5 linked regions of the Macaca fascicularis genome follow. The protein of the gene in region 1 interacts with the protein of each later gene in a biochemical or structural test. Links are inferred from orthologs where the notes say so. Each region holds a gene or a part of one and is shown in the gene's direction. Other genes may lie near its edges. The genes, in order: MAP2K7, MAP3K11, MAPK8IP2, LRRK2 and GADD45B.

Region 1 (3,513 bases):
ATAGAGAAACCCCGTCTCCACTGAAAATACAAATCAGGCGGGCATGGTGGCGCATGCCTGTAATCCCAGCTACTCGGGAGACCGAGGCAGGAGAATAGCTTGAACCCGGGAGGCGGAGGTTGCAGTGAGCCGAGATCACTCCATTGCACTCCAGCCTGGGCAGCAAGAGTGAAACTCCATCTAAAAAAAAAAAAACATAAAAGAGATTAGGTGGAAGTTGCAGTGAACTCAGGTCGTGCCACTGCACTCCAGCCTGGGCAACAGAGCAAGACTCCGTCTCAAAACAAAACCAAAAAAATGTAAAAAGCGTCTTGAAGGAGGTGGGGGGAGAGAAGACAGCCCTGCCCGAGCTCTGAGCGTAGTGCCAGCCTGTGGTGGGCATGCAGGCTGTGCCCCATGCCCGTGTTGGGAGAGGGAGTAGATGAGGTGCCTGGCCCTGTGAGTGACTGTGAGTGTGTGTGTGTCCGATGGGCAATGGGGACTCTGTCCCAGCTGCATGGGTGTTGGGTCCACAGCGGCACGCCCCGCGTGTGTGTTGTGCTTGTGTGCACTTGCACGGCGTGTGTGTGCATGTTGACATGGCAGCCTGCACACCTGTGGCTCCTGTCAGCAGACACGTGCCCTCCAGCCTCTCGCTCTCTCTCATCCATTCTTTCTCTCTCATCCTCACCCTCTTGCTGTCACTCCACCCTCCTGAGCTGCCATGTGGCCATCGCCACCTCTGTGGCCTCTGTTCTCAGGGCCTTTGTGTACCTCCTTCCCCCAGTGCCTACCTGAGCCCTCCCTTCCGTTCCCCCGTGCTCCAGTCTGTAGGCCAGCAGCCTCCTCCCCAGGCTCTGGGGCTGCCCTCAGAAGGCCTGGTGGGCTGTGCCGGGGAGGGGGCCCACAGGACTCCTCGAGGGCTGTGGTCCTCACCCCCTGAGTGCAGGGCGGGAGTGGGACTCAGATACTCTCTGAGGGCGGGAACCACGCAGTATCTCAAGAGACACCAGGTGCACAGGGGTTGGGGGCTGGGTGTGAGGGGAGCACAGGCCCTCGGGAGCCAGAAGAGGATCGGGGCTGTGGCTCAGGCCATGGACAGAGCAGAGGCACAAGGACCTGAAGAAGCAGAGGGGGGAACCTGGCCAACGCAGCGAGATCCCGTCTCTACTAAAAAGACAAAGATTAGTTGGGCATGGTGGCGTGTGCCTATAATCCCAGCTACTCAGGAGGCTGAGGCAGGAGAATCACTTGAACCTGGGAGGTGGAGGTTGCAGTGAGTTGAGATCACGCCATTGCACTCCAGCCTGGGCGACAGAGTGAGAACCTATCTCGGAAAAAAAAGGAAAAAAAAGCACCAGTGGGAGGTGACATGGTGCTGCGGAGGCTGCAGTGGCCAGGACAGCGGGAGGGGCACGGGAGGTGAGGCCTCTAGGCCAGTTAGGAAAGCTGGGCCTGACTGTGTCCCCAGGTCCCCGGAGCCCTTCCCCAGCTCCTGCCTGGTCCTCCAGGAGGGGAGCAAGGGGACACAGCTCCTGCAGGGGCTGGTGGGACCAGGTAGGGGCAGTGCTGGGCCTCCTGATTGAGACTGAGGTCAGCGTCCTCCTGCCTCTCCTACTGGCTGAGATCAGGGTCCCAGGCACCCAGGGGAGGGACGGGGTTTAGCTGCCAGCGTGGAGCGGGTCTGTCTGTTCGTGTTAGTCCCTGGGCACCAGTCACCAGGAGCCTGCAGAACTGTGGGAAGAAAAGGTGGACGGGGCAGGAGGAAGAGAGGGGGTTGTCCGTTGAGGGCTTTGGGAGAGCGGCAGGCCCCAGCCCCTGTGGGAGGGGCACCTTGGGAGGTGTGTGCAGCTGTTGTCAGGGCCTCTGGGATGGGAGGTGTCAGGATTGGCTCCTCTGGAGGCCACGTTGGCATCCCGGCCTCTGTTCCTGCACCCCATCGCCAGCCCAGCCAGGGAGACCCTAGCTCCTCCAGGAAGCTGCCCTCCTGTCCCAGGCCCCTCTCTGGCCTGTCTGTGCAGTGCCTCCTCTGGGCACCTGGGCCCAAGTCTTGGTTCCTGTCTGTCTGTCTGTCTCCTGCCCTCCCACCCCTAATGCTGCCTGCCTGCCCCAGGGTGCCCGCCGCCTGCCCGCCGCCTGCCCGCCCGCTGTAGCATGCCCGAGCTGCCCGCATGCAGGCTGCTGGATGAGCCAACCCCTGCCTGGCCCAGCATTGGCCCCACCTGGTCCCGCCAGCCCCTGCAGGAGCTGTGCCCCCCAACTCTCCTCCCAGATGATGCAGGCCCCCTGAGGTCCTGTCCTGCCCCCACGGGCCCCAGCTCTGCAGGCCAGGCCGGGAGGCCCCCGTGTCAGCCCACTGGCCCGAGGGGGCCCTCCCGAACCCGGAACAGAACATGGGGCAAGGCAGCCTGAAACCTGGGTCTCGTGCCCACTGCCTCCCCAGGGTGGCCCCGCTCGCTCTCGTCTGGGAGCCAAGTTTAGTGCTACCAGCAGGGCCACAGCCCGGGCCAGCCCTGGCAGGCACTCCACCCCCGCCTATCCAGCCTGTGGGCGCTGTGGTCCTGGGCCTGCTTCCTGGGCAGAAGTGGGAGGAAGCGCCCACACCTGTCATGGAGGCTGCCTGGCCGAGGGACACCTCAGGTCCCCGTCTCATTTCTCCGTCAGCGTAGACTTGGGGCTCCCTCTCCCCTGCCAGCCTCTTCCATTTCTTTCCACGTCAGGGGATGAGACAAGGGACCCTGAGGACAGTCTGGGGTGGGAGGGAGACCCCAGCTCCTCCAGCCCAGCAGGGCAGGGGCTGTGCCGGCCTAGCTAGGGAAGCCCAGGAGGGGAAGGTGAGGGTCCCGACCTCTCCCTGGAGTGCCAGATGTGGAGCTGAGACCAGCTGGGTGCTGACCCCTCCCCTGCCACTGGTTCTCACCCCCCCAGCCCTGCAGCTCCCGCTGGCCAACGATGGGGGCAGCCGCTCGCCATCCTCGGAGAGCTCCCCGCAGCACCCCACGCCCCCCGCCCGGCCCCGCCACATGCTGGGGCTCCCGTCAACCCTGTTCACGCCTCGAAGCATGGAGAGGTGAGCCAGGGGCCCGGCAGGGTTGGGTGGGAAGCAGCATTGAGGGGCCACCGTGCCAGCCTCGGGGAGGGCGGTTAAACCGGTGAGAACCCCGGTATGGGGGGCTGGGGTGGCCAACCTAAGGTCAGGACCCACCTCCACCGGCACCTGCTCCTTGTCCCCAGCATTGAGATTGACCAGAAGCTGCAGGAGATCATGAAGCAGACGGGCTACCTGACCATCGGGGGCCAGGTACCACCTTCACTGTGGCGGGAGAGGGAGGAGGCCCAGCCAGGCTGGACCCATCCTGGGGGTGCCAGTGGGGGGCGGGGGGCGGTGACAGAGGCCCCGGGGACCCTCCAACCCTCCCTCTCCTCCCAGCGCTACCAGGCAGAAATCAATGACCTGGAGAACTTGGGTGAGATGGGCAGCGGCACCTGCGGCCAGGTGTGGAAGATGCGCTTCCGGAAGACCGGCCACGTCAT
Region 2 (4,050 bases), on another chromosome or scaffold:
TGCACTACCGAAGCACGCCCCTCTCGGTCCGCCCCCTTTAATGCTGGACCTCCTACGTCCTGATCGTTTCTCGTCTCCCAGCGGCGTCTACTTCCGGGTCAGAGCTCAGACCTAGGGTGTAGAGAACAACCTTCCGGAACAGGCAGGAATAGTCGAAAAAGGATAGCGTCGTCTTTCTTAAAGTGACAGGCTTAAAGCAATTGGGGCAGCCCTATCCAGAGGTTCTGAGGGCGACTCAGCTATTCTGAATCCAATCGTGGGCAAAGTTCTGGACAAGTCTCAGGATTCTGCCAATGGGGAAGGGATATGAAGAAGCGGATTGTTTCCCAGGTGAGGAGAAGAGCAGAACCTTAGACAATCCACTCCAAGAGCTTGAGGTGCAGCCAGTTCCGTCTGTCCTCCAGTCTTCCCCACCCCATCCCACTAGCTCTGCGAGGCAGAGCTTTCTTGTACTCATATCATATATGAAAAGAATGGCCGGGCGCGGTGGCTCACGCCTGTAATCCCAGCACTTTGGGAGGTCGAGGCGGGCGGATCACGAGGTCAGGGGTTTGAGACCAGCATGGTCAACGTGGTGAAACCCATCTCTACCAAAAATACAAAAATTAGCCGGCCGTGGTGCCACGCGCCGGTAGTCCCAGCTACTCGGGAGGCTGAGGCAGGAGAATCGCTTGAACCCGGGAGGCAGAGGTTGCAGTGAGCTTAGACTGCGCCATTGCATACCAGCCTGGGTGACAGAGAAAGGACTCCGTCTCAAAAAAAGAAAAAAGAAAGAAAGAAAGAAAATAATGAGGCTCAGAATGGATGGATCGCACAGTCCCACAACTTCGCAGCCAACACCAGACTTGGGTTCACCCCCTTCCCAAGTGTGGTTCTGTAACCCCGTTTTGCTGACGCCAGTGCGGATGCAGAGGACAGAGATGGCCCATCCTTAGCAGAGACCAACCTGCACCCTGGCCAGCAGAGCACGCAGCTGGAGGCTTTTCTTTCTATATCTCAAAGCCTGCTGTGATGGGGAATCTGGTTCTGCCCTTTCCCTCCTCTGCCTCTCCTGGCCCGCCTACCCGGGAACTCCCCTGCTGGAGCCTCTGGGAGGGGAGCGGTGCAGGCCGCCCGCGTCATCTGATGCTGTTTCCTGCAGGAGGGAGAAGAGCGGAAAAAAGTGAAACTCCACCCTCCACCTCTGCCTCCCGCCCCCGAGGCCAAAGTACAAAGGGAGGAGGAAGAAGGGAGCGGGGTCGGAGCCGTCGGGGACCAAAGGAGCCAGGGACAGGAACAGGCAGTCTGGGCCCAACTGTGGACGCTCCCTCCACCCCCGCGCAAAAAGACCCAACCGGAGTTGAGGCGCTGCCCCTGGAGGCCCCACCTTACGCTGGGCGGGGGCCGGAGCCAGGCTCCCAGGACTGCTCCAGGACCGAGGGAAGCTCGGGCCCCTCCAAGCTAGCCATGGTGAGGCGTCGGAGGCCCCGGGGCCCCACCCCCCCGGCCTGACCACACTGCCCTGGGTGCCCTCCTCCAGAAGCCCGAGATGCGGGGGGCCGGGAGGCGACACTCCTGGCTCCCCAGAGAGGCGTGGGTCTGGGGCTGAGGGCCAGGGCCCGGATGCCCAGGTTCCGGGACTAGGGCCTCGGCAGCCAGCGGGGGTGGGGACCACGGGCACCCAGAGAAGGTCCTCCACACATCCCAACGCCGGCTCCCGGCCATGGAGCCCTTGAAGAGCCTCTTCCTCAAGAGCCCTCTAGGGTCATGGAATGGCAGTGGCAGCGGGGGTGGTGGGGGCAGTGGAGGAGGCCGGCCTGAGGGGTCTCCAAAGGCAGCGGGTTATGCCAACCCGGTGTGGACAGCCCTGTTCGACTACGAGCCCAGTGGGCAGGACGAGCTGGCCCTGAGGAAGGGTGACCGTGTGGAGGTGCTGTCCCGGGACGCAGCCATCTCAGGAGACGAGGGCTGGTGGGCAGGCCAGGTGGGTGGCCAGGTGGGCATCTTCCCATCCAACTATGTGTCTCGGGGTGGCGGCCCGCCCCCCTGCGAGGTGGCCAGCTTCCAGGAGCTGCGGCTGGAGGAGGTGATCGGCATTGGAGGCTTCGGCAAGGTGTACCGGGGCAGCTGGCGAGGTGAGCTGGTGGCTGTGAAGGCAGCTCGCCAGGACCCCGATGAGGACATCAGTGTGACAGCTGAGAGTGTTCGCCAGGAGGCCCGGCTCTTCGCCATGCTAGCACACCCCAACATCATTGCCCTCAAGGCTGTGTGCCTGGAGGAGCCCAACCTGTGCCTGGTGATGGAGTATGCAGCTGGTGGACCCCTCAGCCGAGCTCTGGCAGGGCGGCGCGTGCCTCCCCATGTGCTGGTTAACTGGGCTGTGCAGATTGCCCGTGGGATGCACTACCTGCACTGCGAGGCCCTGGTGCCCGTCATCCATCGCGACCTCAAGTCCAACAACAGTGAGTTTCTGGCGGCCTGGTTGCGGGTGGCATGGCTCTGGCACACACCTGCTCCCAACCTTCCACTGAGCCTAGCTTAGGGTCTGCTGCAGGTAGGAGCACTCGCCCTAGGGGGTCCCAGCTGACCAGGTGCCCATGGGCTCAAGCTAGCCCCCAAACAGAGCTCCAGGCACCCAGAAGAGTCTTCCTGTCCCAGCCTCAGAAGTCCTTGGCCCCAGCCTGCAGCTGAGGTTTGGACAAGTTAAGAAATTGGGATTTCTCAGGTGGGCCATAAGCATCCTGCCCAGCTCTGCCTCCCACCTCAAGGAAGTCCTCTGGAAGCTCGCGCTCCCCATCTTCTCCTCCCCTAAATTCATATTCGTAGACTTGGTGCTCTGTCCTCTCCTGTCATCATGGGCAGCTCCTCCAGAACAGATATCTCAGAGGGAGAAGCCCTCCTTGGCAGTCAAGGCCAAGGCCAGGGCTGGAATTCTGGCCTAGCCCTCCCTGGCTGCATGACCTCTAGCTCGTTACTCAAACTCGGAGCCTCAATTTCAGACTCTGTAAAAAGGGAGAGTGAAACAGCTCAACAGCCTGGGCAAGCCTGACCTGCGATCCCCAACCCGCAGCGGGTGTTCAGCCATGGAGATGGACATTTGAGGGCTGGATCACCAAGAGGGCCTAGCCTGCAATCAGTGCTTGGGGTGGGAGTGCTGGGCTAAGGGAGACTCCATCTCCCACCATTTTAAGCCCCCAACACGCTTTCCATCACGGCCCAAGAGAAGCAAGTGGTAGCTTCAGAGGGCTTCCTGGTGCGCGCAGCATTTAGAGAGCGAAGGCATGGAAGCAGGACCTAGCACACAGCAGGGACCAGGAGCAGGGGCCTCCTAGAGCCCAGGGTGCAGGCTGGAGAGCAGCAGTAGGAAATGCAGGAGGGGCCAGGCTCAGTGGGGTCACTGGAAAAGCATGAGACATTCTTAGAGGGGGGTCCATGTGGATATTTTGAGCCTCCTGGCCTGGGCTGACCATGGACAAGGGGCTTGCAGGAAACAGAGTGCTGAGCCCCAGATATCCAAGTTCTTGCCAGGGCTGGAGGAGCCAGGGGAGGCCTGCCAACCACCCCACCCACTCTTCTCATCCCTTGTAAGGTGCAGTTCCCACCTCTCAGCCTCAACCCTGGGCTCTATCTAGGGACCCCCACTACCTGCCCCAATCTGAGGGGGATTCCCTGAAGGCGCAGGGGGAGGGGACTCCCATCTTCTGTTTTTCCTCCGTTTTCTTTCCAGAAAAAATGGAACAATAGCCCAGGCCCCTGCTCCCCACCCTCCCCACTGCTTCCTGCGTTTCCTGCTGCCCTGAGCCGGCTTCCTGTCCCTGCTCCAGCCCCTGCTCCCTCCCTAGCCCAGCTGCCTGCAGGGGAGGAAAGAGCTGGGGGTGGAGGGCTTGCGGGAGGAAGGAGCCTGGAACTGCTGCCCCACTCCCCTCTAGTTCCCCTGCTTCCCTCTCAGAGTCTGGGAGTTGGTGGTAAAGGGCAGGCAAGGTGCCCTCAGCCTCCCTGAGCCTGGCATTTAACCTCGGAGACCCCAGTCTTAGGCCCAAGTTGCTGTCTGCGGGATTGGGGTGGGGGGAG
Region 3 (3,513 bases), on another chromosome or scaffold:
GGCCTGGATGGTGCAGAGAGGGTGACCCCCACCTCCCTGCCCAGCAGAGCCCCCGGGCCCCCTCCCTCCCACGGACACAGGGCCTGGCGGGACGCAGTCGCCAGTGCGCCCGGGTTGCGACTGCGAAGGGAACCGGCCTGCGGAACCCCCGGCGCCAGGGGGGACTTCGCCCTCCTCAGATCCCGGCATCGAGGCTGACCTGAGAAGCCGCTCGAGCGGGGGCCACGGGGGACGTCGCAGCAGCCAGGAGCTGTCCTCGCCCGGCTCCGACTCAGAGGACGCGGGCGGCGCGCGCCTAGGGCGCATGATCTCGTCCATCTCGGAGACGGAGCTGGAGCTGAGCAGCGACGGCGGAAGCAGCAGCAGCGGCCGCTCCTCGCACCTCACCAACTCCATCGAGGAGGCCTCGTCGCCCGCCTCGGAGCCGGAGCCCCCGCGCGAACCCCCGCGCCGCCCCGCCTTCCTGCCCGTGGGTCCCGACGACACCAACAGCGAGTACGAGTCGGGGTCGGAGTCGGAGCCGGACCTCAGCGAGGACGCGGACTCGCCCTGGCTGCTCAGCAACCTGGTGAGCCGCATGATCTCCGAGGGCTCCTCGCCCATCCGCTGCCCCGGCCAGTGCCTGTCTCCGGCGCCGCGCCCGCCCGGGGAGCCCGTGTCGCCGGCCGGCGGGGCTGCCCAGGACTCCCAGGACCCCGAGGCGGCCGCGGGGCCCGGCGACGTGGAGCTGGTGGACATGGAGACGCTGTGCGCGCCGCCGCCGCCTGCGCCCGCCGCGCCTCGACCCGGCCCCGCGCAGCCCGGGCCCTGCCTGTTCCTCAGCAACCCCACGCGTGACACCATCACGCCGCTGTGGGCCGCGCCCGGCCGCGCTGCCCGCCCGGGCCGAGCCTGCTCCGCCGCCTGCTCTGAGGAGGAGGACGAAGAGGACGACGAGGAAGAGGAGGATGCCGAGGACAGTGCGGGGCCCCCCGGGGGCAGGGGCACGGACCCCTCGGCGCCGCGGGACGCCTCGCTGGTGTATGACGCGGTCAAGTACACGCTGGTGGTGGACGAGCATACGCAGCTGGAGCTGGTGAGCCTGCGGCGCTGCGCCGGGCTGGGCCACGACAGCGAAGAGGACAGCAGCGGGGAGGCCAGCGAGGAGGAGGTGGGCGCAGCGCTGCTAGGCGGTGGTCAGGTCCCGGGGGACACCTCGCCGGACAGCCCTGACCTCACTTTCTCCAAGAAGTTCCTCAATGTCTTCGTCAACAGCACATCCCGGTCCTCCAGTGAGTGACAGGCAGGGAAAAGGGGGGTGACCCAGAGGAACATGCGGAGTCCCTGGCCCCAGTCCCAGGCTCCCCCACAGTGCCCGGGGCCACCTGAGGGTCTGGCCATGGTCAGGGCTGGGCGCCCTCTCCCATCCAGGACATGGCATGAGGTGGCCTGCTCTGCCTCAGCCCCTTCCTGCTCCCAGGACACCCACACCGGCCTGCAGAGGGGACTCCACCTCTGCCCGAGGCCAGGCCTCTAAACATTCCTTCCCCTACTCTGCCTCTCTGTATCCCTGTCTTCCCCACCTCTGTCCCATCTGGTCTCCCAGGCACCGAGTCCTTTGGCCTTTTCTCCTGTCTGGTCAACGGTGAGGAGCGAGAGCAGACCCACAGGGCTGTGTTCAGGTACAGCCTCCCTCCTTGCTGGCGGTGGCCCCAGCCTCAGTCCGTGCCATCCCAGGACGCCAATGGACACGACCCTCAATCCCGCCCCCCTCCCCAGTGACCTCTCCCCCAACGGCAGGTTCATCCCGCGGCATCCAGACGAACTGGAGCTGGACGTGGATGACCCCGTGTTGGTGGAGGCCGAGGAGGATGACTTCTGGTTCCGTGGCTTCAACATGCGTACGGGGGAGCGCGGTGTGTTCCCTGCCTTCTACGCCCATGCGGTTCCCGGCCCTGCCAAGGACCTGCTGGGTGAGGTCCCAACCCCGAGGGGTGGCGTGTCACCCCAGATCCTCCCCTAGGCCCCTGCCTGACCTGGGCCCTCTGTGCCCCCTCCCCAGGGAGCAAGCGGAGTCCCTGCTGGGTGGAGCGCTTTGATGTGCAGTTCCTGGGCTCTGTGGAGGTGCCCTGCCACCAGGGCAATGGCATCCTGTGTGCGGCCATGCAGAAGGTCAGTGTGGAGGCCGGGCAAGTGCAAGCTGAGGGTTCGCATGGTGGCCCCACCAGCACTGCAGGCTGGCACAGGGCCTTGAGGCTCCAAGGCGTCTGATTTCCTCCAGGGAGGGTGTGAGGGATGCTGCAGGGGTAGCTCTGGATGGGTACCCCAGGCCCTGGTTCAGAGGCCTGAGCAGGTGAGTCTAGGGCAGAGCTCAGCAGCTGTCCCTCATTACTTCTGGGTCTCTGGGCCACAGATCTTCCAGTTGGCCCCGAGTGCCATCAGCCCTTCCTCTTCCTGTCTGGAATCAAGACCAGCCCTCACAGCCCCTTCCCTGGGAGCCCCCTACTCATCCACTCACTCAGTAGACGTTTAGTGCGCGCCTGCCCATGCACCAGTACTGAGACTGAGGCTGGGGGGCGGTAGGGAGCAGGGCAGAGCAGCCCTGCCTCTGAGAGCTCCCTGGAGCTTGTAGGGCCAGGCAGTGAAGAGGCCAGGGTGGGTGGGGTCTGTGTTCCTGGCTCCTGAGCCCAGAGCAGCACCCTGCCTGGAGGAGCAGAAGGAAGATGAAGCACGCTGACTGCTTCCCCTGAGCCTGAGGAGTGGCCAAGGCCACTCCCTTATGTCTTCCAGAATTGCATCTCAGGAGTCCTCAGCATGCATGTCCTCAAACATAAGCTAAAAGGAGCAGAGGCGTACGTAGTCCCACCAAGGGGAAAGAAAGATGCCCTTGTGGGCCCCTCAGGACCCTCTTCTCCCCCAACTTCTTAGATTGCCACTGCCCGGAAACTGACTGTCCACCTGCGCCCTCCTGCCTCCTGTGACCTCGAGATCTCTCTTCGGGGGGTCAAGCTGAGTCTGAGCGGAGGAGGGCCCGAGGTGGGGGCTTGGGGGACTGGGGACAGGGGACGGGGGGGTACGGTTAAGCCACGGAGTCAGACGGGGCCAGGCTGGCAGGGGTGTCAGGCAGGCGGGAGGCAGGGGTGGCCCCAGGCTTCCTCTAACACGGGGGCTTCTGCCCACCTCTGCTGTAGTTCCAGCGCTGCAGCCATTTCTTCCAGATGAAGAACATCTCCTTCTGCGGCTGCCACCCCCGAAACAGCTGGTAAGATTCCAACCATCCCCGAGTCCCCACAAACCCGCAACTCCCCGAGTCCCCCAACTGCCCCCGAGTTCCCCAACCACCCCACAAACGCTGAGAGTCCAACCACCCCCGGAGTCCCCACAAACCCTGAGGGCTGCCTAACCATCCCCCAAGTCCCCACAAACCCTGAGGGCTGCCTAACCATCCCCCAAGTCCCCACAGACCCTGAGGGCCGCTCGTGCCCAACCCTGAGAGCTCCACCTGCACCCACTTGGCTCTCTGAGCTGAGTGTG
Region 4 (3,513 bases), on another chromosome or scaffold:
CGGGGAGAGAATTTGTATGTTCGTGTCCTTCAGCACACATTTATTATAGTTATTAAAAGGTTTTATTGATGATAGACAGTAATGTCATGTAAAAATGACATTATTTATTTGTAGATTTTCCTATTCTCTTGTTGGACATGTAATTAGAAAGTAATATGACTTAAAGAAAAACAAATACACAAAATTTATTCATCCAGTTAATCTCTTAATCGAGGTTTTTTTTTTTTTTTTCTGAGACTATACCCATACTTCAAAAACTTTGTTGTTACTGAGAATATTTTGATAATTTCCCTTTTCGTCATTGCTGTCAGATAATGTATCATATCTTTAAAAAGACTTGTTGGAGGACGAGTTTGTTTTGAAAAGGCCTGAATTTAGTTGATGCAAAGTCACAGATAAGATGGCTCATTAAGCTGTATTAATACTGCTTTTGTCTAATAGATATCATTACCAATAAATCAGACCAGATTTCCTTTTGGCACTTGTAAATCAACTTTGAAGACAACTTTTTACAAGGAAGTAAAACAAATGCTTTGAGAAATACCAGTATTAGTGAAAGAAAAGTATATATTGCTAATGGATGCAGCATTCTGGCATAATGGTTTGAAAACTCATTTGATTGCTTTGTAGAAGAGTGACTCTTTCGGAGGACCCAGGGCCTGTGGGCCTGCCAGAACTTGAAAATTCTTTCTTCCCTGAGGTGCTTCAACCTGAATTCAAAGAGCAGCTTTTAATCTATTAGAGATCTTTTTTTGTCCTCTCATTTATTTTTCATCTTTCCCTTTGATCTTAGCTCTTCTCTAATCTTTTTCTGTCTCAACCTTATTAACATGTGTCTGTGCAGACACTTTAAGTTTTATTTTTTTGACTCAGCCTGTCAGTGAACTGATTATCATGCTGAAAGGAGAAGCAGGACAATACAGAGTTGAATGCCGACAATACTCCTTTTAATCTTGTTCAGCCCATTAGCAGAGCAGGCATCCCTTTAGGCTTTGAGACCTAGTCCCCTAAAACTCATCCCGTTTCTACTTGATTTGCTTTCTTTGAGAACTCTTGTTTACTTTTATATGGAGGTTTCCCTCCTTGGATTAAAACATAAACCTCAATCTGAAGTTCCATTTCATCTTAATTTATGAACAACTCTGAGAGGGAACATGAAAAGTGGAGATTAGTGAAATTATCTCCAATTCTCTGGGTCAAAAGATACACGAAAACAGTCTCTTGAGTAACCATTTACAGGTAAATACAGAAGTAATGGTTATGGTTGTCTCCTTAAGGTTTTAGTCACAAATGAAAAAGACCAAGTTAATTTTTTGTCTCTGTGTGCTGAATTTCTGTTTGTAGTAAGTGTAAGAATTTAAGCAGAAATGCTGTTTCTTATTTTCAGGTGAAAAGAATATGTAATTTCCATAGGCCCAGAAATAGGGAGAGTTTGCCATCTGGTGGTTCTTAAAGGCATTGCGGATGTTATTAAGAGTTGCTTTTCTATTTAAAATTATATTTTAAAAAATGTTTGGAAGATACTTTTATTATAGAAACTATCCTCTTAAGCCCATTCTTTAAAAAATCTTCTTTTATGCATTTCTCATTTTGTAGACAGTGATTAGATTCTAAAAGCAACAGAACAATGATCATCCTCTCCTAGCAGAATCACTGGTGTTTAGATGATTTCTCATTTTCCCAAATACTCCATGAACAACATAGCTTGAGTGGGATCTTATGTCTCCAGGTTTCACTGTTGATATATGCATCCCATCAATATAACATTTTACAAATAACAAGCACAAAATTTAATGTTTTACCTTGAATATTTAAAATATAATATCCAAAAGCTCTTGTAATTTGTACTGATATCTTATGCTAGCGTGTCTGTTTCACATTAAGTTTAATGTCTTAAGATATAAAAAATCTTTCTTATGGTTAGTGATTTATCTTGATTTTTGCCATGGAATTTCTGTGTAGCAAGATAAACATTTCCATACCATTTTATTTGATATTTCCTAATTTGCCTCTGGATCAACAGTTTTCCTATTTTAATTTCATTGTACTTATTCCTTACAATCTAAATAGCTTTTTATTATATTTTGATTTTATTTAAAAATGTACTTCTGAATAACATATCTGTTTCTGTAAAAACTGTTAGCACTGAATTTGCCAACCATTTGACACATACACGAATAAAATAGATTTTTACGGCTTGTCATTTGTAATTTCATAGATCCGAGATCAGCCTGTTGTTGGACAGCTGATTCCAGACTGCTATGTAGAACTTGAGAAAATCATTTTATCGGAGCGTAAAAATGTGCCAATTGAATTTCCTGTAATTGACCAGAAACGATTATTACAACTAGTGAGAGAAAATCAGTTGCAGTTAGATGAAAATGAGCTTCCTCACGCAGTTCACTTTCTAAATGAATCAGGTTTGTGTGTTTCTTTCCTTACTTTCAAAGCTCAGCTGTAATAACTTATAAAAGTGTTTCTGAATCTTGTATAGAATTTACATTCAAAGCTGAGAGAATATCCATACAGTTCTTTAATAGGGCACTGATTTTTTTCTTTTTGGAGGATCATCATGTGTGTGGATGATAAATCATGTATCATGTTGTAAGAAAACAAATTTAGAAATCACCTAGGAGTAAAGTAGTGGAAAGATTCCCTGAGTGGGAGTTAAAATATTTGGGTTCTAGAACTTACTTGTACTATTCAGGAGCTGTGGAACCCCAAGCACAACCATATCCTTCCATAATGTCAAATGAGTTTAGTGCATGTGAAACTTATTTTTATATTGCAAAGGGGAATTATTGTTGGAATGGTCTAACTGGGACGCTTTGAGAATCAATGGCTCCCTGAGATGATGCAGCTGCTGAGTGGAAGATCTAGCTCTCTTTCATCAAATATTGGTCTCAAAGATGAAAATTCTCAAACCAACTTCAGTGCTAATTGTGTACTTGATCATATTACTTTGCCAGAAATGTGTGAGTTGTTTGATAGTACTAGAGTAAGTGACTGGGAAGCTGCTTTTGATCCCTAGATTCTGTTGTGTGAAAAATAGCTTCCTGTGGTTTATGATCTGTTCCTTTTCCCCATTGTTCTTAAGGTATGCTGAAATATGCTGTGTTTCTTATCTGTATTTGAAAATAAAACATGTCTTTGTAGTGTTTATTCAGCAAGCAAAACAGAAAATTATGAATTTCTATGTATGCATGAAATATGCTTTGTAATGCATGTCAGTGTCTCAAATATGTTTATATATGATTGTTTTATGTAGTTTAAAAATACTCCATTATAATATTGGGACTTTAGACCATAGGATGCACAGCTTCTAGTCCCAGCTCTGCCACTAGGTATGCTGAAATTTCTTTACCTGTAAAATGAGGAAGTTGGACTAGATTCTTTCTAAAGCCCCTTGATAGTTGTTCTACATTCCATGTTTCACTGTTTGATGAATTTTTACTACAGGAGTCCTTCTTCATTTTCAAGACCCAGCACTGCAGTTAAGTGACTTGTATTTTG
Region 5 (4,047 bases), about 5.5 Mb from region 1:
GCCGCCGCGCCTCGCAGCCCCGGGACATTTCGTGCCCCAGCGGTGGGCGGCGCGGAGAAGGCGGGATGCGTCAGCTGGGCTCGCGGGCCGGGGAGCCGGGGAACCGGGGAAACCGAGCCGCAGGGCCGAGGCCAGAACCCAGGCTGGCGGGGGAGGGGACTCAGACGTGAGTCACCCGGGAGCCCCCAGTCGACCGTGGGAGACGTTGTCATGCGGGGCCTGCCCGCCTCGTTCCTAAGCAGCCTTCCTGGGGCGGCGGAGTCCTGCAGGCGGCCGTGCCTGGCGCACAGGCGTGGCTCCAACACGAACTAGCCTGTGGCCTCACCAAGCCTCAGTTTACCCTTTTGCATAATGCACATAAGCATCCCCCCTGCTTCTCAGGTCTTGGATTAAATCATCCATGAATCGGGAGGGGTGGAGGGTGCCAGATCCGCACCACGCTCAGTGCAGGTCAGCGCCCACCCCGGAGTGAGAAATAAAGGTGGCCGTCATCCTTGCACGTGGGCCTGGGGTAGCGGCGTGCAGCCGCAGCCTGCACCATTCCCCCCAACAATGGCTTTCTCCTCGGCCTGGAGGCCTCCGCACGCGCAAAGCCTGGAACGCCAGGCAGCTGGCGGGGGCGGGGCCACGCCACCTGCACCTCCCACGCGCGCCCCACCCTGAAACTCGCGGGGTCGGCGAGGGGGCGCCCGCTTTCTTCTCCAGAGTGCCCCGGGCTTTGCAACCTCCCACTTTCGGGGCCCTGGAGGAGGCCTCCCGCGACCACCAGGTGACAGATGATGTGTATTGAGCGCTTACTGTCAGCCGTATTTTATGTGATGCTCTGCAAACCAGCGAGGCCGGCGCTGCAGCCCCATTACTCAGACAGGAATATAGAGGCCGGGAAAAGCGAAATCACCCAGGGGCTGGGGTCGCCGCAGCCAGGAGAGACTCCGGTCATCACCACCACCTGGGCGAGATCAGGCTGCGAACGGGGCCCTTTCCCGGTGCAGCCCCTCCACCCCCAGCAGAACTTGGGAAAGGAGCAGTCCGGGACTCTCCGCGCAGCGGGAGGGGATTCCAGGCCCCCCCCCGGCGAAAGTCCGGGCCGCCTCGCGCGCTGGAAATCCCGCGCGCGCCCCGAACCGCGGCTCGGCTGCCGGGAAATCAGGAGAAAAAAACTTCTGCTTTTTTTTTTCTTTTCTGGCATTCGCGGTCACCTACCCGGCCCCCGCGCGCCCTCCTCCCGGTTCTCGCCCCCACGTGGGGCGCCCCCACACGGCGCTCCGCCCCCTCGCCGCCGTCGGCCAACCGCAGAGCTGTCTGCACTCTCCGTTGTCCTTCCACCAATAGGAGGGTTGAATGACTCCACTGAGGCCTCGCCCCAGCCGTCAAGTCTATAAAAGTCGGTGCCGGAGGCTCCCGGCTCAGATCGCCGAGGCTTCGGACTACGGTTGGTTTCTGCAACTTCCCGGATTATTTTCGCCAAGGACTTTGCAACATTTTTTTCCGCCTTTTCTGGAAGGATTTCGCTGCTTCCCGAAGGTCTTGGACGAGCGCTCCAGCTCCGTGGGAAGGTTTTGGGCTCTCTGGCGCGGATTTTGCAATTTCTCCCTGGGGACTGTCGTGGAGCCGCGTCCACTGTGGATTATAATTGCAACATGACGCTGGAAGAGCTCGTGGCGTGCGACAACGCGGCGCAGAAGTAAGTAGCCGGGACCGCCGCCGTCTGAGGTTGGCCGGGACGGGATGGGTCGGGTTGGGCCGGGCCGGGAGCGGAATGTAGCACCCGGTGGTCCGCCCGTCACTGATCCCTCTCTCCTGGCCTCAGGATGCAGACGGTGACCGCCGCGGTGGAGGAGCTGTTGGTGGCCGCTCAGCGCCAGGATCGCCTCACAGTGGGGGTGTACGAGTCGGCCAAGTTGATGAATGTGTGAGTCAGACCCCCTCCCCGGGCCGGGCGCGGGTGGGACGGGACCTCCCCTCCGCTCTGGACGCTTTCCACACGCTTGTCTCGCATGGGGCTGGGACTTCCCCAAGTGCCACCCGCTGTGGATGCAGAGCTCCTCTGCTGTTTTGTGGATTGGGGGCTGCCGTATCCTGATGCATCGTCTGCAAGCGCCCCTCCCGCTGTGGGCCTGTCTCCCCACACCCCACACTTTGAACCGTGTGCCTTCCCCGCCCCCCACCGTCACCAGCTTGCAGAGGCAATCCCCTGCACCCCTGCAGTTTCTCTTTTGCTCTTGCACGCTCCTTTTTTTGCAAACTCCCCCTGCACGGTGGCCTCTCCCCTGTTCCCGGCTGACCCACCCCTTCCCTTTGGCCCCCTCAGGGACCCAGACAGCGTGGTCCTCTGCCTCTTGGCCATTGACGAGGAGGAGGAGGATGACATCGCCCTGCAAATCCACTTCACGCTCATCCAGTCCTTCTGCTGCGACAACGACATTAACATCATGCGGGTGTCGGGCATGCAGCGCCTGGCACAGCTCCTGGGAGAGCCGGCCGAGACCCAGGGCACCACTGAGGCCCGAGACCTGCATTGTCTCCTGGTCACGGTGAGTTGGGCCTCTGCCCTGACCTGCCACGCCCGGGCACCTGGGCTGGTGTTTGTCAACAAAGTCGGGCTGACTGGTCCTGCACAGCTCAGGGTTCAACCATGCTTGGCATGTCCCGTGGGCAGCCGGGCTGGGGCCTCCTCACCCAGGGAGCTATTTTGAGCCTGCCTGTTTTCCCCACACATGGGGCCCTGGGAGAGGGAGGCTCCCACTAAACCCTTTCTTTTCCCCTCCCACAGAACCCTCACACGGACGCCTGGAAGAGCCACGGCTTGGTGGAGGTAGCCAGCTACTGCGAAGAAAGCCGGGGCAACAACCAGTGGGTGCCCTACATCTCTCTTCAGGAACGCTGAGGCCCTTCCCAGCAGCAGAACCTGTTGAGTTGCTGCCAAAAACAAAAAATAAAATAAATATTTGAACCCCCCTCCCCCCCAGCACAACCCCCCCAAAACAACCCAACCCACGAAACCATCGGGGGCAGAGTCGTTGGAGACTGAAGAGGAGGAGGAGGAGGAGAAGGGGAGTGAGTGGCCGCCCCCAGGGCGGAGATCGGGGAGCTGGCGGCCGCCGATCCGATGGAGGAGAAGTGGGGACCCAGGCCAGCAGGAGACAGGACCCCGGAGCTCAGGCCTTGGGATGGAGCAGAAGCTGGAGGGGCGGGGCACGCTGCCGCCTTCCCTATCATGGAAGGTCCAGACTCTCCACTTGAGGGTGGAGTGAGACTGACTGCAACCCCCACCCTCCTTGAGACTGGAGCTGGCGTCTGCAGACTAGAGACCTGGTTGAACTTGGTTGGTGCTTGTCTGCACCCTCGACAAGACCACACTTTGGGACTTGGGAGCTGGGGCCGAAGTTGCTCTGTACCCATGAACTCCCAGTTTGCGAATCATAGAGACAATCTATTTTGTTACTTGCACTTGTTACTCGAACCACTGAGAGCGAGATGGGAAGCACAGATATCTATATTTTTATTTCTACTCTGATGACCTTGTAATAAATTTCTAAAGCTTCTGGGTGCTTGTATGTTTTCGGCTTCTGAGAACAACCGGGACCCCTGCCCCCTCCCCTGGGACACGCTTCACACCCCCCCTCCCCACCTCTCCTCCGCAACCCCTGCCAGCTCACCAGGAAGTGTTACTCAAGCCCCTGTTAGCAGCTCCAGGCTCCCGTGCAAAACAGTACCTCTTCTCTGCAGCAGGCGCCTCCACCGACTCCAACAAATCTATGCCTCTTTTTTTTTTTTTTTTTCCTCTCCTCCTACCCTGTAGCAATTAAGAGACCGGTTTATTACGAAACCTGGCCGCCGTGCCACCGCTGTTACTGGCTGTGCAGGAGCCAGCCCTAAGCTCTGGGCACATATGGAGGCATTTCGGCGGGAGGGGGTGCTGGCTGCAGCCCCTGACCGCCCCGGCGGCCGCCACCGCAGCCCAAGGTCCAGAGCGGTCAATGGGGCACCTGGGACCACACAGCGAGGTGAGCTCAGGACTTGCAAGGAAGAGCTCCTTTGGAGGAT

Evidence for each region.
Region 2: of the proteins of MAP2K7 (region 1) and MAP3K11, one has a biochemical effect on the other in vitro, tested with the Homo sapiens proteins (2 studies listed by BioGRID). The link is inferred for Macaca fascicularis from reciprocal best matches to the Homo sapiens genes MAP2K7 and MAP3K11.
Region 3: the proteins of MAP2K7 (region 1) and MAPK8IP2 form a complex in vitro, tested with the Homo sapiens proteins (2 studies listed by BioGRID). The link is inferred for Macaca fascicularis from reciprocal best matches to the Homo sapiens genes MAP2K7 and MAPK8IP2.
Region 4: of the proteins of MAP2K7 (region 1) and LRRK2, one has a biochemical effect on the other in vitro, tested with the Homo sapiens proteins (2 studies listed by BioGRID). The link is inferred for Macaca fascicularis from reciprocal best matches to the Homo sapiens genes MAP2K7 and LRRK2.
Region 5: the proteins of MAP2K7 (region 1) and GADD45B form a complex in vitro, tested with the Homo sapiens proteins (2 studies listed by BioGRID and IntAct). The link is inferred for Macaca fascicularis from reciprocal best matches to the Homo sapiens genes MAP2K7 and GADD45B.

Annotation. Positions count from the first base shown.
Region 1 is NC_088393.1:8,620,717-8,624,229, forward strand, and holds part of MAP2K7 (dual specificity mitogen-activated protein kinase kinase 7), read left to right. Parts: intron 1-2,907; coding exon 2,908-3,049; intron 3,050-3,213; coding exon 3,214-3,280; intron 3,281-3,409; coding exon 3,410-3,513. UniProt on the Homo sapiens protein: Dual specificity protein kinase which acts as an essential component of the MAP kinase signal transduction pathway. Essential component of the stress-activated protein kinase/c-Jun N-terminal kinase (SAP/JNK) signaling pathway.
Region 2 is NC_088388.1:8,754,845-8,758,894, forward strand, and holds the start of MAP3K11 (mitogen-activated protein kinase kinase kinase 11), read left to right. Parts: upstream 1-1,240; 5' UTR 1,241-1,702; coding exon 1,703-2,441; intron 2,442-4,050. UniProt on the Homo sapiens protein: Activates the JUN N-terminal pathway. Required for serum-stimulated cell proliferation and for mitogen and cytokine activation of MAPK14 (p38), MAPK3 (ERK) and MAPK8 (JNK1) through phosphorylation and activation of MAP2K4/MKK4 and MAP2K7/MKK7.
Region 3 is NC_088384.1:951,058-954,570, reverse strand, and holds part of MAPK8IP2 (C-Jun-amino-terminal kinase-interacting protein 2), read left to right. Parts: intron 1-44; coding exon 45-1,271; intron 1,272-1,585; coding exon 1,586-1,661; intron 1,662-1,779; coding exon 1,780-1,952; intron 1,953-2,041; coding exon 2,042-2,151; intron 2,152-2,907; coding exon 2,908-3,015; intron 3,016-3,170; coding exon 3,171-3,241; intron 3,242-3,513. UniProt on the Homo sapiens protein: The JNK-interacting protein (JIP) group of scaffold proteins selectively mediates JNK signaling by aggregating specific components of the MAPK cascade to form a functional JNK signaling module.
Region 4 is NC_088385.1:46,793,754-46,797,266, forward strand, and holds part of LRRK2 (leucine-rich repeat serine/threonine-protein kinase 2), read left to right. Parts: intron 1-2,218; coding exon 2,219-2,420; intron 2,421-3,459; coding exon 3,460-3,513. UniProt on the Homo sapiens protein: Serine/threonine-protein kinase which phosphorylates a broad range of proteins involved in multiple processes such as neuronal plasticity, innate immunity, autophagy, and vesicle trafficking.
Region 5 is NC_088393.1:3,130,535-3,134,581, forward strand, and holds GADD45B (growth arrest and DNA damage-inducible protein GADD45 beta), read left to right. Parts: upstream 1-1,408; 5' UTR 1,409-1,640; coding exon 1,641-1,684; intron 1,685-1,810; coding exon 1,811-1,912; intron 1,913-2,311; coding exon 2,312-2,534; intron 2,535-2,773; coding exon 2,774-2,887; 3' UTR 2,888-3,545; downstream 3,546-4,047.